3 linked regions of the Nothobranchius furzeri genome follow. The protein of the gene in region 1 interacts with the protein of each later gene in a biochemical or structural test. Links are inferred from orthologs where the notes say so. Each region holds a gene or a part of one and is shown in the gene's direction. Other genes may lie near its edges. The genes, in order: disks large homolog 4, adrb1 and kcna4.

Region 1 (3,651 bases):
TGAGGCACACTGACAGAGGCAAGTCTGCCGTACACAGACGCCAACTGTCCCTCCAACCAGCAGGCAAGGTGGGTCAGGTGCCTTGCCCAAGGACACAACGACAGCAAAAGACTGAGCGGGGCTCGAACCTGCAACCTTCTGATTACGGCAAGCACTTAACTCCTGTGCCACCGTCGCCCATAAAATAGAGGGCACTTGTCTGACCTGGAGAGGAGGTGCGTTCCACAGTTTTGGGGCACAGATGGAAAAAGCCCTTTCCCCACAGGTCTTCAAGCGTGCCACAGTGAGGAGGAGCTGATCTGCAGAGCGTGAGGAGGGTGGTAGAAATGGAGGAGTTCGCTTAAATAGGGAGCGGTCTGACTGTTCAATGATTTAATTACAAGAAGCAAAATTTTGAAATTGATCCTGAACTGAACAGGCAGCCAATGGAGTGATTTAGGTTTGGGTGTAATGTGCCGTCTTCTGTCAGCTCCAGTCAGAAACCTTGTTGCTGACGTCTGGACGAGCAGCTTTACGGATGCCTTACAAGCAGGAGTTGGAGTAATCTAGCCGGGATGTAATGAAGGCATGAATCACCCATTCTGACATAATGATTATTATTACATTTTATTCATATATGAAGTTATGAAATAGAAAAACACCTTCTTCACTCACATTTGATCAGACTCAAGGATGTTATTTAAACCTGAATATCAAAATTCAGCACATCAGCTCTAGCCTCCAACAGCGCTTTCATTTGTTATGACACCAATGATCAATTTTCCCCTAAAAAATCCTCACGACCGTGTGTGTGTGTGTGTGTGTGTGTGTGTGTGTGTGTGTGTGTGTGTGTGTGTGTGTGTGTGTGTGTGTGTGTGTGTGTGTGTGTGTGTGTGTGTGTGTGTGTGTGCACAAGCAGCAGGGGAAGCACTGCATCCTGGATGTGTCTGCTAACGCTGTCCGTAGACTACAGGCAGCTCAACTTCACCCTATCGCCATCTTTGTTCGGCCCAAGTCGCTGGAGAATGTTCTGTATGTATTCACAACTCCTCAAATGCAGCATCAGCAAAAACGTGCTATGGCAACAACTGTGTGTGTGCGTGTGTGTGTGTGTGTGTGCGTGCGTGTGTGTGTGCTAACAGAGAAATCAACACTCGTCTGACAGAGGAGCAGGCCAGGAAAGCGATGGACAGAGCCCTCAAACTAGAGCAAGACTTCCTAGAGTGTTTCTCAGGTGGGAATGCTGTTATCACAAAGATGTGACTATTTTACCCATTTGGCTTTTGTATTTAATTTCGTAGAACATAACATTTACACTCAAGTGTTAAAGATCCAAATAGCCCTGAAGCTAAAGACAAGTGGGAGGTAGATTACACCAGATGTGATTTGGTAAAAATAAAATAAAATAAAAAATAGATTCACTGTTTTGTTCATTTTTCTTCTGTTTTGTTAAAAATTTGTATAAAAACAAACTTCTACTAATAGAAATCCTGATCCTTCCAGCATATTTTTACAGATTAGCAAACTTTTACAGTTTAAAGTTGAACTTGATAAGTTTTCCAGTTCGCCCTTTACTGGTTGGAACAACAAGCTAATGCTAACAGATATTAAATAAGCCTTAAAAGAAAAAGATCTACACTGCTTGACAAAGCAAATATCATTACTTACAAAGAAGCTAGGTCACCATCAGTCTGTGATTTCTTATGTTTCCAATGTTCACTCTAGTTTAGTTCCTTGCTTCCCCTCTCAAAAGCAAACTGGTAGCCTTTAAACTAGCTACCAGCACAGTAAACAGCTATTGCCGTAAAGGTTGGTTTATGCTTGACGCATCTGCGAGGTCCGCACGGCTCCGCGCGGCCCAAAATTTCCGCAACGCGCACCTAGGAAATTTTCTAACCACGCGGACGGTCGGACGCGGAAAAACATGGCGGACTGGCAGAGGTTCGTAAATACAGACATTTGTATGATTCAGCTCTCAGAGATCACCGTGATCAACATGTTGTTAATAATTCTTGGAGAGAAATAGCTCGCACTGTCGGAAAAGACGAGGACGCTGTTAAAAAATGCTGGAATGCCATGTTGTAAACAGTAATTTTTACTTCTACAATGGTGTAGTGTTGGATGCATGCCATAGAGCTCCATGCTGCCCCATTCAGTCTGGGAGAATACTGGCTCACCGCAGAGATGAGCCGCATGAACCATAAACGCTGCGAGTTGTAAAGCGCGTTCCAGCCACGAGCCGCATCACCAAGCGGAAAGTAAATGCGTCAAGCATAAACCAAGCTTAATGCAAGCAGAGACAGCCCCCCCCCTCCCCCCACTAGTGTTCCTGTCCAACCACAAAACTGTTAAGTGCAGATTCCGGTCAGCAGAAGGCGACAGAGTGCTGTCCAATGTGAAGCTGGTGAATGTTCTCGCTCAAAACCACTGAAACCAGTTTGAAAACAAAAGTGTTTAAAGTGTTAAACACTATCAATTGTTGCTTTAATAGATTTTAATCCCAAGGCATGGGATATTTACGAACAAAAACATGCAAAAAGCACAGAACTTTAAAACGTCTTCCTGAGAGCATTCATGTGGACCATTCAAGTTAGGCAAGAACATTCTGTAAATGTGCACGTCACCCATGATCTTTCATAGAGTTTAAGATCATAATAGCTGTTTTGGTCAGATTTAAAACTAATTTATACAAAATGTCTCCCAGATCTTGGAGTTCATGTGTTCTCTCAGGTCAGACGTTTCTACAGGAAGACAAAAGCTGTTTTGGTTACGTAAACTTTGGCTAATGCACATCAGAGCTGCTGTTTTAAATCACCGTTAGCACTCAGACGTTTAGCACTCACGGCGCTTCTGTTAGGTACGCTTCAAGCTTCATTCATCCACTGATTCATGACTTCCTCCACCCTGAATGAGATGAACGCTTTGAGTCCCACCAGAGTCTTCTGGGATAACTCAGAGATTTTTAATATTTTAGAGATGCATTTAGGGCACATCCCAGCAGCAGATCTCTGACAGATCCAGTGCTGTCTGCGGTTTCTACCACATGCCAGATTGCTGTGGTACGTGACATTGTATCAGACACTGAAAAAGTAAACAAGTTTCAAAATGTGTGGAAACATTTGTAAAAAGATTTTTTTGAATCATTTTTCTAAAAAGTTGCTCCCTAAGTTGTCTACCAAAGGCATCCTTTAATCTTATCATTTTTCTGCCTCCTTCCTTCTGTCGCTGCTCGCTCTTTGATGATTTTCTTCTCTTTTCTCATTTCCTGCTGCAGCTGTCGTGGACGGGGACAGCTTTGAGGAAGTTTATCATAAAGTAAAGACAGTGATTGAGGAGCAATCGGGGCCTTACATCTGGATCCCCACCCGGGAGAGGCTGTGATGCTGCACCCGGCCGACCTCCCCTCACTCTCCTCTCCTCCCCCCTCCACCCTCAAGGCCGAGCCAGCCTCGCCCGCCTGCGAAGTCCTCCAGCGAAGTCGGCGCTTAGGCTGCAAATGACACAGAGACAAAAACAGGAAGTGACCCAGTGAGACAAAGAAGGATACCAAAAACAATAAATGAAGGAAACAGAGACTTTATGACTCGTGTAAACACACTGATGTGTAATTAAACTGAAAGAGACAGAGAGAAAATATTTATCTGTATTCCACTTTTAATGAAGTAGGGTTCA
Region 2 (3,751 bases), on another chromosome or scaffold:
GCTCTTTGCATTTATTCAAGGAAAAATTAACAATATGTTGAAGGAACTTTCAGCCCTTTTCTCTGACTCCGTCACAAACACCAGAATCATTTGAGAAAACAAAACATAAGATTGAAATATTTTTAGGGTGTTTCACTTAAAAATCTTTCAGCTGACTACATAATATTTCAAACAGTCAAGAATAGAGCTGTTATTACTTCATTCTAAGCTTAATTTATTCTGTGCTCAGCTCACATGTATGTAAAAACTGTGTGTTTAAATGTTTTTCCAGAATCAGAAGTTGGTGTTACCCATGCATAACAACTTCATCACAAAGAGAAATATTTAATATTCCTCTCGGTGATGCATGAGTACCGTTCTTGGGTTATTTTCTCTGCTTCATCAGAAGTTTCTGCCTCTAATGGTGCAAATGAAGGGAAAACACTGAGAACAGGAAATGACTTAACCCTTTACTGGTTCCAAATGTGTGACGCTTAATTGTTCCACCAAAAAGCCAGCAGGGAAAAACATCATAATCAAAAGGCTTTGCTTCAGCCTCCACACTTCAAGGTCAAAAAAGAAAAAAATAAAAGCATCCTGCTGCTCATAAAGGTCAAGGGGGAATGTTGACTTCTCTTCGTTGTGTTGGGTCGGGTTGTGTTGCAGCCTCAGCTGTGGGGTCGCTGGGTTCATGGGCGGGAGCGTAAATCGTCCACATAAAAACAAACAAAGTTTTGTTGTTTTCCATTTTTGTGCAGACTGTTTGTCATGAGGCCGGTGGAAATTTACACATCTGATGTGGACTAAGGTGTACAATCACTCAGAGCTCAAAGGTTATGGTCCATATTGACATGACAGCATCACACAGCTGCATGATGGGAGTCTCCTGTTCCACCACATCCCACATGTTCTGGACTGAGATCTGACTGTGGACATGGTTGGAGTCCAGTGAACTCATGGTCATGAAACCAGATGATCTTCGTGACATGGTGCTTTATCCTGCTGAAAGTGTAGCATGGGTTAGGGTCCACGTGGTCATGGATGGACATGGTAGTCTGTGGTGTTTAAACCAGGCTCAGGTGGCACTGGGGGTCCAGAGTGGGACAAGAACATCTCCCCCACACCATTGTACCACGCTGCAGCAATGATACAAGACAGGACGGATCCAGGTAGTTCACATATTCTCTCATTAACATTAATTAAACAGCTGAGCAGGTGCAGAGTGACCAGTTTATTTAAAACAAACTCAAGTGGGACAGTGGTGAGTCTTTACATTGATGCATTTAATAAAATCTGGTTGTGAGCCAAACGCTTCTTTATGCAGCTGTGAGGCCAGTCTGCAGGTCTGTGTTGGGTCAAGTCTCATGTTTAAGGAATGTATTCTCAGAGATAAAAATATAAGGAGAAAAACAAGTTCTGGACGTGATAGCAAGTGGTGACAGGAGGGAATTCCCTCTGGACCATTGTGATGTTTCCCATATTTGGTGCACCGTTTTCCCACAGTGTGGGGTTTTGCAGGATAAGAAATTCATGGGTCAATTTCTCATCAGAATATCGCGAATGTTCAGTAACTGTCCAGTGCATGCAAAATAAGACTGGAAGTCTGCTTTTCTCAGGTGCAGCTTGTTTCCTGATCCTCACCGCTGGGACCGCGGGTCCCCTGGACTTTCTGATTGGCCGTGATGAGCGGTGATGTCACCGCCTACCTCGCTGTCCAGGCCGGCGCGGTTTCGAGCGCAGATCCAGAGAGAGAAGCTAAAACACTCCGTGGAGTCGGCGCGCGATGGGATGAGAGCTGCGTGAACGCCGCACAGCGCTGCCTGGATGAGACCGAGCTGGTCCAGCTCACAGAGCAGCAGCCCGTCATGGGGAACGGTGGTGCGTTCTCACCGGTGAACCTCCACAATGGCACGGGGAGCGAGGCGCCGGGCTCCGCTTCACCTGCGTCGGAGCAGTGGATGGCGGGGATGAGCCTGGTGATGGGTCTGATCGTCGTGTCCATCGTGTTCGGGAATATCCTCGTGATCGTGGCCATAGCCAAGACGCAGAGGCTGCAGACGCTCACCAACGTGTTCATCGTGTCGCTGGCGAGCGCGGACCTCATCATGGGGCTGCTGGTGGTGCCATTTGGCGCCGCGCTTGAGGTGCGCGGCTCCTGGCTCTACGGCTCCTTTTTCTGTGAGTTCTGGATCTCCGTGGACGTGCTGTGCGTCACCGCCAGCATCGAGACCCTGTGCGTCATCGCCATAGACAGGTATGTGGCCATCACCTCACCTTTCCGCTACCAGAGCTTGTTAACCAAGGCTCGCGCAAAGGCGGTGGTGTGCGTGGTGTGGGCCATCTCTGCGCTGGTCTCCTTCCTGCCCATCCTGATGCACTGGTCCCGCGACAACGTGGACACAGCCTGCTACGAGAACCCGGAGTGCTGCGACTTTGTCACCAACCGGGCGTACGCCATCTCCTCATCCATCATATCTTTTTACATTCCTCTCCTGGTCATGATCTTCGTTTACGCACGGGTGTACAGAGAGGCCAAGCAGCAGCTGAGGAAGATCGACAAGTGCGAGGGCAGGTTTCACAACACCCTGACTGGACTCACCTCCAAGTGCAAGAAGAGGCCGTCCAAGATCCTGGCGCTGAGGGAGCAGAAGGCGCTCAAGACGCTGGGCATCATCATGGGGACTTTCACTCTGTGCTGGCTGCCCTTCTTCATAGTCAACGTGGTGCGGGTGTTCAGCGCAGAGGTGGTGGACAAGAACCTCTTCGTGTTCCTGAACTGGTTGGGGTACGTGAACTCGGCCTTTAACCCAATCATCTACTGCCGGAGTCCGGACTTCAGGAAGGCTTTCAAGAGGCTGCTGTGCTGCCCGAGACAAGCCGACCGCAGGCTGCACATCAGCTCCTGCGACCTGTCCCGCTGTTCCGGCGGGTTCGTGTCCGCGCTGGAGCCCGGGACCTTGGAGATGTGGTCGGACTGCGCCGTCCTGGACAACAGCGACAGCAGCCTGTTGGGGACAGCGAAACTGTCCCACTCAGAATCACAACTGTGAAGAAAATAAATAAAACCATCCAGATGGAGAGTTAAAAATATATACAAACAGGAAAGGATGCGCGTAAAATCCAAACCATTCGCTGTAAGTGGAGTTGTCTGTACAATCAGTTAAAGATCTTGGTCTTAATTCATCGATGCGATAAATCCAAAATCGAAGGTTTGCGCTCACAGAACACAAAGCGCTTTTTCCACAAAAGCGCACGAGCCTTAAGGTGATTTATTACTGCAGATGCGACTTTTTACTCCAGATCTGTCGACCAGGTGGCTATAATATTAAAAGAATCACGTTTTGCTGATACCTTTGTTCATAATGGGAAACAATGTGTTCCTAAAATGATCTCTGAGGCGCTCCAAAACGCGCATAACGTGGATGCCAATAAGCTCTTAATTACCTCACAGGCCGGTGCAATTTATACGGCAGGTACTTGTTTATATTAAACATAATGTAAAATAAGTGTTTTTATTTATTCGGTGCGTTCTTTTACAACATAACCAAGTGAGGGGTCAATAATTGCGCATTTTGTGGTGTGGAATGAGGAATCTCGAGCCTCTGTCTGTCTCCGGCTTTACCAGCTGTTTTAAGGTGGTGCTTTGACGTCTGTGAAAATAAAAATAACCTTTGATTGCTTAGTTCTGTTCGAGCTGTATTTCCTGTGAGTGGTTTTATATTAGAACCTGATCCACAGGCTTTTGCTCCATGGTAATTTCTTATTTTTTACA
Region 3 (3,751 bases), on another chromosome or scaffold:
CGGCTGCGTCCACTGGGGGAGGACCGAGCGCCGCCTGCGCGCTGCAGTACACGACACACACACACACACACACACACACACACACACACACACACACACACACACACACACACACACACACACACACACACACACAATGGGAGGGATACAGGAGATAGGTAGAGCTAAAGCGGCAGACAGACAGATGTGTGATGCTCAGACTGAGGCCGTTCCTTTCCGCCCGAACCAAGGTAAACTTTTACCCACCCTCGTTTTCTTCTGCTCGCGGTCGCGTGGAGCCATCGTAGATGCCAACTCGCTGCGTGAACACCTGATTCCCCAGAAGCGGTGCCGCAGAAATTGAGGCTCAAGTGCCAACAGATCCTGTTGAATTGAGACAACACGTCGACATGCACGCAGCCGGAAAAAGTGCCCTCCTCAGAGTGCGTCAGAGCACGGATGCATATGCTGGATGTGGATATGGTCGCCCGTTGGAGACGGAGACGGATTTGTGATTATCACGCCTCACAATCAAGACGAAGGTTTGAGCGCAGAAGAAAATCTGTATCCTCGCCTCCTCATCATCTTCCAACAAATGTGTTTTTAGGAGGGCTGAGGCTCTTTTGGCCCTTTACGGATGTAAGTATGGATGTCAGGATGAAATAATGGTGCTTAGTGAGAGGATTTCGTGCGAAACGTGTTTTGTTAATGCCGTCCAAGCATTAATATTAATAATAATAATAATAATAATAATAATAATAATAATAATAATAATAATAATAATAAGCGTGTGAAGTTTCGTAATATGCACAGCGATCATTAATATTAACACGTCCCTTTCTCTCGTGTTGTTGTCTAAATCCTATCCTCTCCTTTTCTCGCAGCTTCTGAGAGGAAAAGTCATTCGGATTCATCGGAGCTCCAGAATAAAGCGGAGATCCATCCAAATGAAACACAAATATAGATCTCACCTCATAAAATGGCAACCACGGGTGACCACGGAGGATTAAAGGACGCGTTTGAGCGCAAACCCTCGGTCGTGGGGGAATGAGCCACCTGATGGCCACCAGAGAAACGGAGGAGAGACTGTTTTGGTGTCGCTTGTTGACTCGGTGATTTATGAACACATAAAGCGGCGCTGCAAGTTTGACAGAGCGTCTGCGTAACAGGCTATGCCACTGGCCCTTGGATTTGTATTATCCTTATGTTTATATTTTGCTTCTAATGATGTCATAAAATCTTGGGTGCTCGAGCCACGACCATTATCTTCTATCATGTAAGAAGCTACCCAATATGGACCTTTCTGAGGAGTGTTTGTTGTTCTCACTTTCTCTTATTCCCGGGAACGGTTGATGCCTCGTGCCCTCGCGTCTCTGCGCGCGCCGAACTGCAACTTTTCTCCCCTGCTCTGCATCCACACCTTGTCGTGGCGCTTACTGCGCCGCTGATCGACTGAAAATGGAATTTGCGATGGTGGGTGCGGACGGAGGGTGCAACAGTCACCTGCCTTACGGATATGCCCAAGCTCGCGCACGGGAAAGGGAGCGCGAGAGGGAGCGCCAGGCTGCCCAGTCGCGAGCGGCGGCTGCAGCGGCCGCGGCCGAAGGATGCTCTGGTGCGGAGGGAGGAGGAGGAGGAGGAGGAGGTGGTGGAGGCGGTGGTGTAGGGGGGTCCACCTCCACCGCCTCCTCGAGCGCTCATCTCCTTAACAATCGCCAGCATCAGTCTCGCGCCGCCTCCTCCTCCGCGAACATCAGCAGCAGCGCCGCCTCGCGCCCCTCCTCCTCCTCCTCCCAGCATCAGCAGGAACCCGAGCAGCAGCACAGAGTTCTCAGAGAGCGGAAAAAGCAGCGCGGCGTCGGACGGTGGAGGCGCAACCGGAGCACTCTCGGCGGGGACCTGCGCCACTCGGAGCTGGCGCTGCTCGGATCCGAGGAGGACATCATGATAGAGGAGGAGGAGGAGGAGGCCGAGGGAGCGGAGGAAGAGGAGGAGGAAGAAGGGGAGGCGGCAGAGGGGGTTCGAGGCAGCAAAAGGTCGAGTTTTCTGTGCAACATGGATGATGAGGAGACGGTGTCGATCACCGACCGGCGCCCTCAGTCCGGCTACGAGAACGTTTACAGCGAGTGCGGCTGCTGCGAGCGGGTGGTCATCAACGTGTCGGGGCTGAAGTTTGAAACTCAGCTCAAGACTCTCACTCAGTTCCCAGACACCTTGCTGGGAGACCCCGACAAGCGCATCAGGTACTTCGACCCGCTGAGGAACGAATACTTCTTCGATCGAAACCGGCCGAGCTTCGATGCCATCCTGTACTACTACCAGTCAGGGGGGCGCTTAAAAAGACCCGTGAACGTGCCGTTTGACATCTTCTCAGAGGAGGTGAAGTTTTACGAACTCGGCGAGGAGGCGATCCTCAAGTTTCGGGAAGATGAGGGTTTTGTGAAAGAGGAGGAAAAGCCTCTGCCGGAGGACGAGTTCAAGCGCCAGATCTGGCTGCTGTTCGAGTATCCGGAGAGCTCGAGTCCTGCCCGGGGCATCGCGGTGGTGTCCGTCCTGGTCATCGTCATCTCTATTGTCATTTTCTGCCTGGAGACGCTGCCAGAGTTCAGGGATGAAAAAGAGTACCTGCAGCCACGACACAACTCTTCTCAGCCGGACCACGGCTTCACACCCTTCAACGACCCGTTCTTCATCGTGGAGACGGTCTGCATCATCTGGTTCTCCTTTGAGATTATAGTGCGCTTCTTTGCAAGTCCGAGCAAAACAGCTTTCTTTAAAAACATTATGAACACGATAGACATTGTATCCATTTTGCCTTACTTCATAACTCTTGGCACGGATCTGGCGCAGCACCAGGGCAACGGGCAGCACACCATGAGCTTCGCCATCCTGAGAATAATCCGCCTGGTTCGGGTGTTCCGCATCTTCAAGCTGTCCAGACACTCCAAGGGGCTGCAGATCCTGGGTCACACGCTGCGCGCCAGCATGAGGGAGCTGGCTCTGCTCATCTTCTTCCTGGTCATCGGCGTAATCCTGTTCTCCAGCGCGGTGTACTTCGCTGAGGCGGACGAACCCACCTCTCAGTTCACGAGCATCCCCGACGCGTTCTGGTGGGCCGTGGTTACCATGACGACGGTTGGCTACGGTGACATGAAGCCCATCACTGTTGGTGGGAAGATAGTTGGTTCGCTGTGCGCGATCGCGGGCGTGTTAACCATCGCGCTGCCGGTGCCTGTCATAGTGTCCAATTTTAACTACTTTTACCACCGAGAGACGGATAACGACGACCAGCCGCCCGCCGTGGTGGAGAGCATGCCCCCGGGATGCCCTTATTTCCCTGACTTTCTAAGAAAATTCAAAGGTTCACCCTCTGGCTCATCGCTGGGTGACAAAGCGGAGTACATGGAGATGGAGGAAGGGGTGACGGAGTCGCTGTGCGGGCTGGACAAGAGCCCCAGTAAAGGAAACGGCACAGACATAAGCAGGAAAAACAGTACTAACTCTAAATCCATTCAGACTGACGTGTGATTACAGTAGTTTATTATTATTAGTGGTATTGTTTTGTTTTCCAAAGAAGAAAAGCATCTTGTAGAGACACTTTCTGCTCAACAGCAGCGGAATCCCCTCCCCAACCCTCCCCAAACACAGGCTTTACGCACGCGTCAGAGTGCACACAGACACACACAGATTTACGCACACACATACACTCACACATAAACACGAAACTAATTGGCAAGCTCAAAAGTTTTCTCTTGACACAATCATAATCTAT

What was found.
Region 2: the proteins of disks large homolog 4 (region 1) and adrb1 form a complex in vitro, tested with the Homo sapiens proteins (2 studies listed by BioGRID and IntAct, with this or other methods). The link is inferred for Nothobranchius furzeri from reciprocal best matches to the Homo sapiens genes DLG4 and ADRB1.
Region 3: the proteins of disks large homolog 4 (region 1) and kcna4 form a complex in vitro, tested with the Homo sapiens proteins (8 studies listed by BioGRID and IntAct, with this or other methods). The link is inferred for Nothobranchius furzeri from reciprocal best matches to the Homo sapiens genes DLG4 and KCNA4.

The regions. Positions count from the first base shown.
Region 1 is NC_091750.1:46,519,710-46,523,360, forward strand, and holds part of disks large homolog 4, read left to right. Parts: intron 1-898; coding exon 899-1,011; intron 1,012-1,121; coding exon 1,122-1,213; intron 1,214-3,253; coding exon 3,254-3,360; 3' UTR 3,361-3,651. UniProt on the Homo sapiens protein: Postsynaptic scaffolding protein that plays a critical role in synaptogenesis and synaptic plasticity by providing a platform for the postsynaptic clustering of crucial synaptic proteins.
Region 2 is NC_091756.1:38,265,709-38,269,459, reverse strand, and holds adrb1 (beta-1 adrenergic receptor), read left to right. Parts: upstream 1-953; 5' UTR 954-1,661; coding exon 1,662-3,029; 3' UTR 3,030-3,485; downstream 3,486-3,751. UniProt on the Homo sapiens protein: Beta-adrenergic receptors mediate the catecholamine-induced activation of adenylate cyclase through the action of G proteins. This receptor binds epinephrine and norepinephrine with approximately equal affinity.
Region 3 is NC_091749.1:47,038,536-47,042,286, reverse strand, and holds kcna4 (potassium voltage-gated channel subfamily A member 1), read left to right. Parts: upstream 1-1,249; 5' UTR 1,250-1,437; coding exon 1,438-3,507; 3' UTR 3,508-3,654; downstream 3,655-3,751. UniProt on the Homo sapiens protein: Voltage-gated potassium channel that mediates transmembrane potassium transport in excitable membranes. Forms tetrameric potassium-selective channels through which potassium ions pass in accordance with their electrochemical gradient.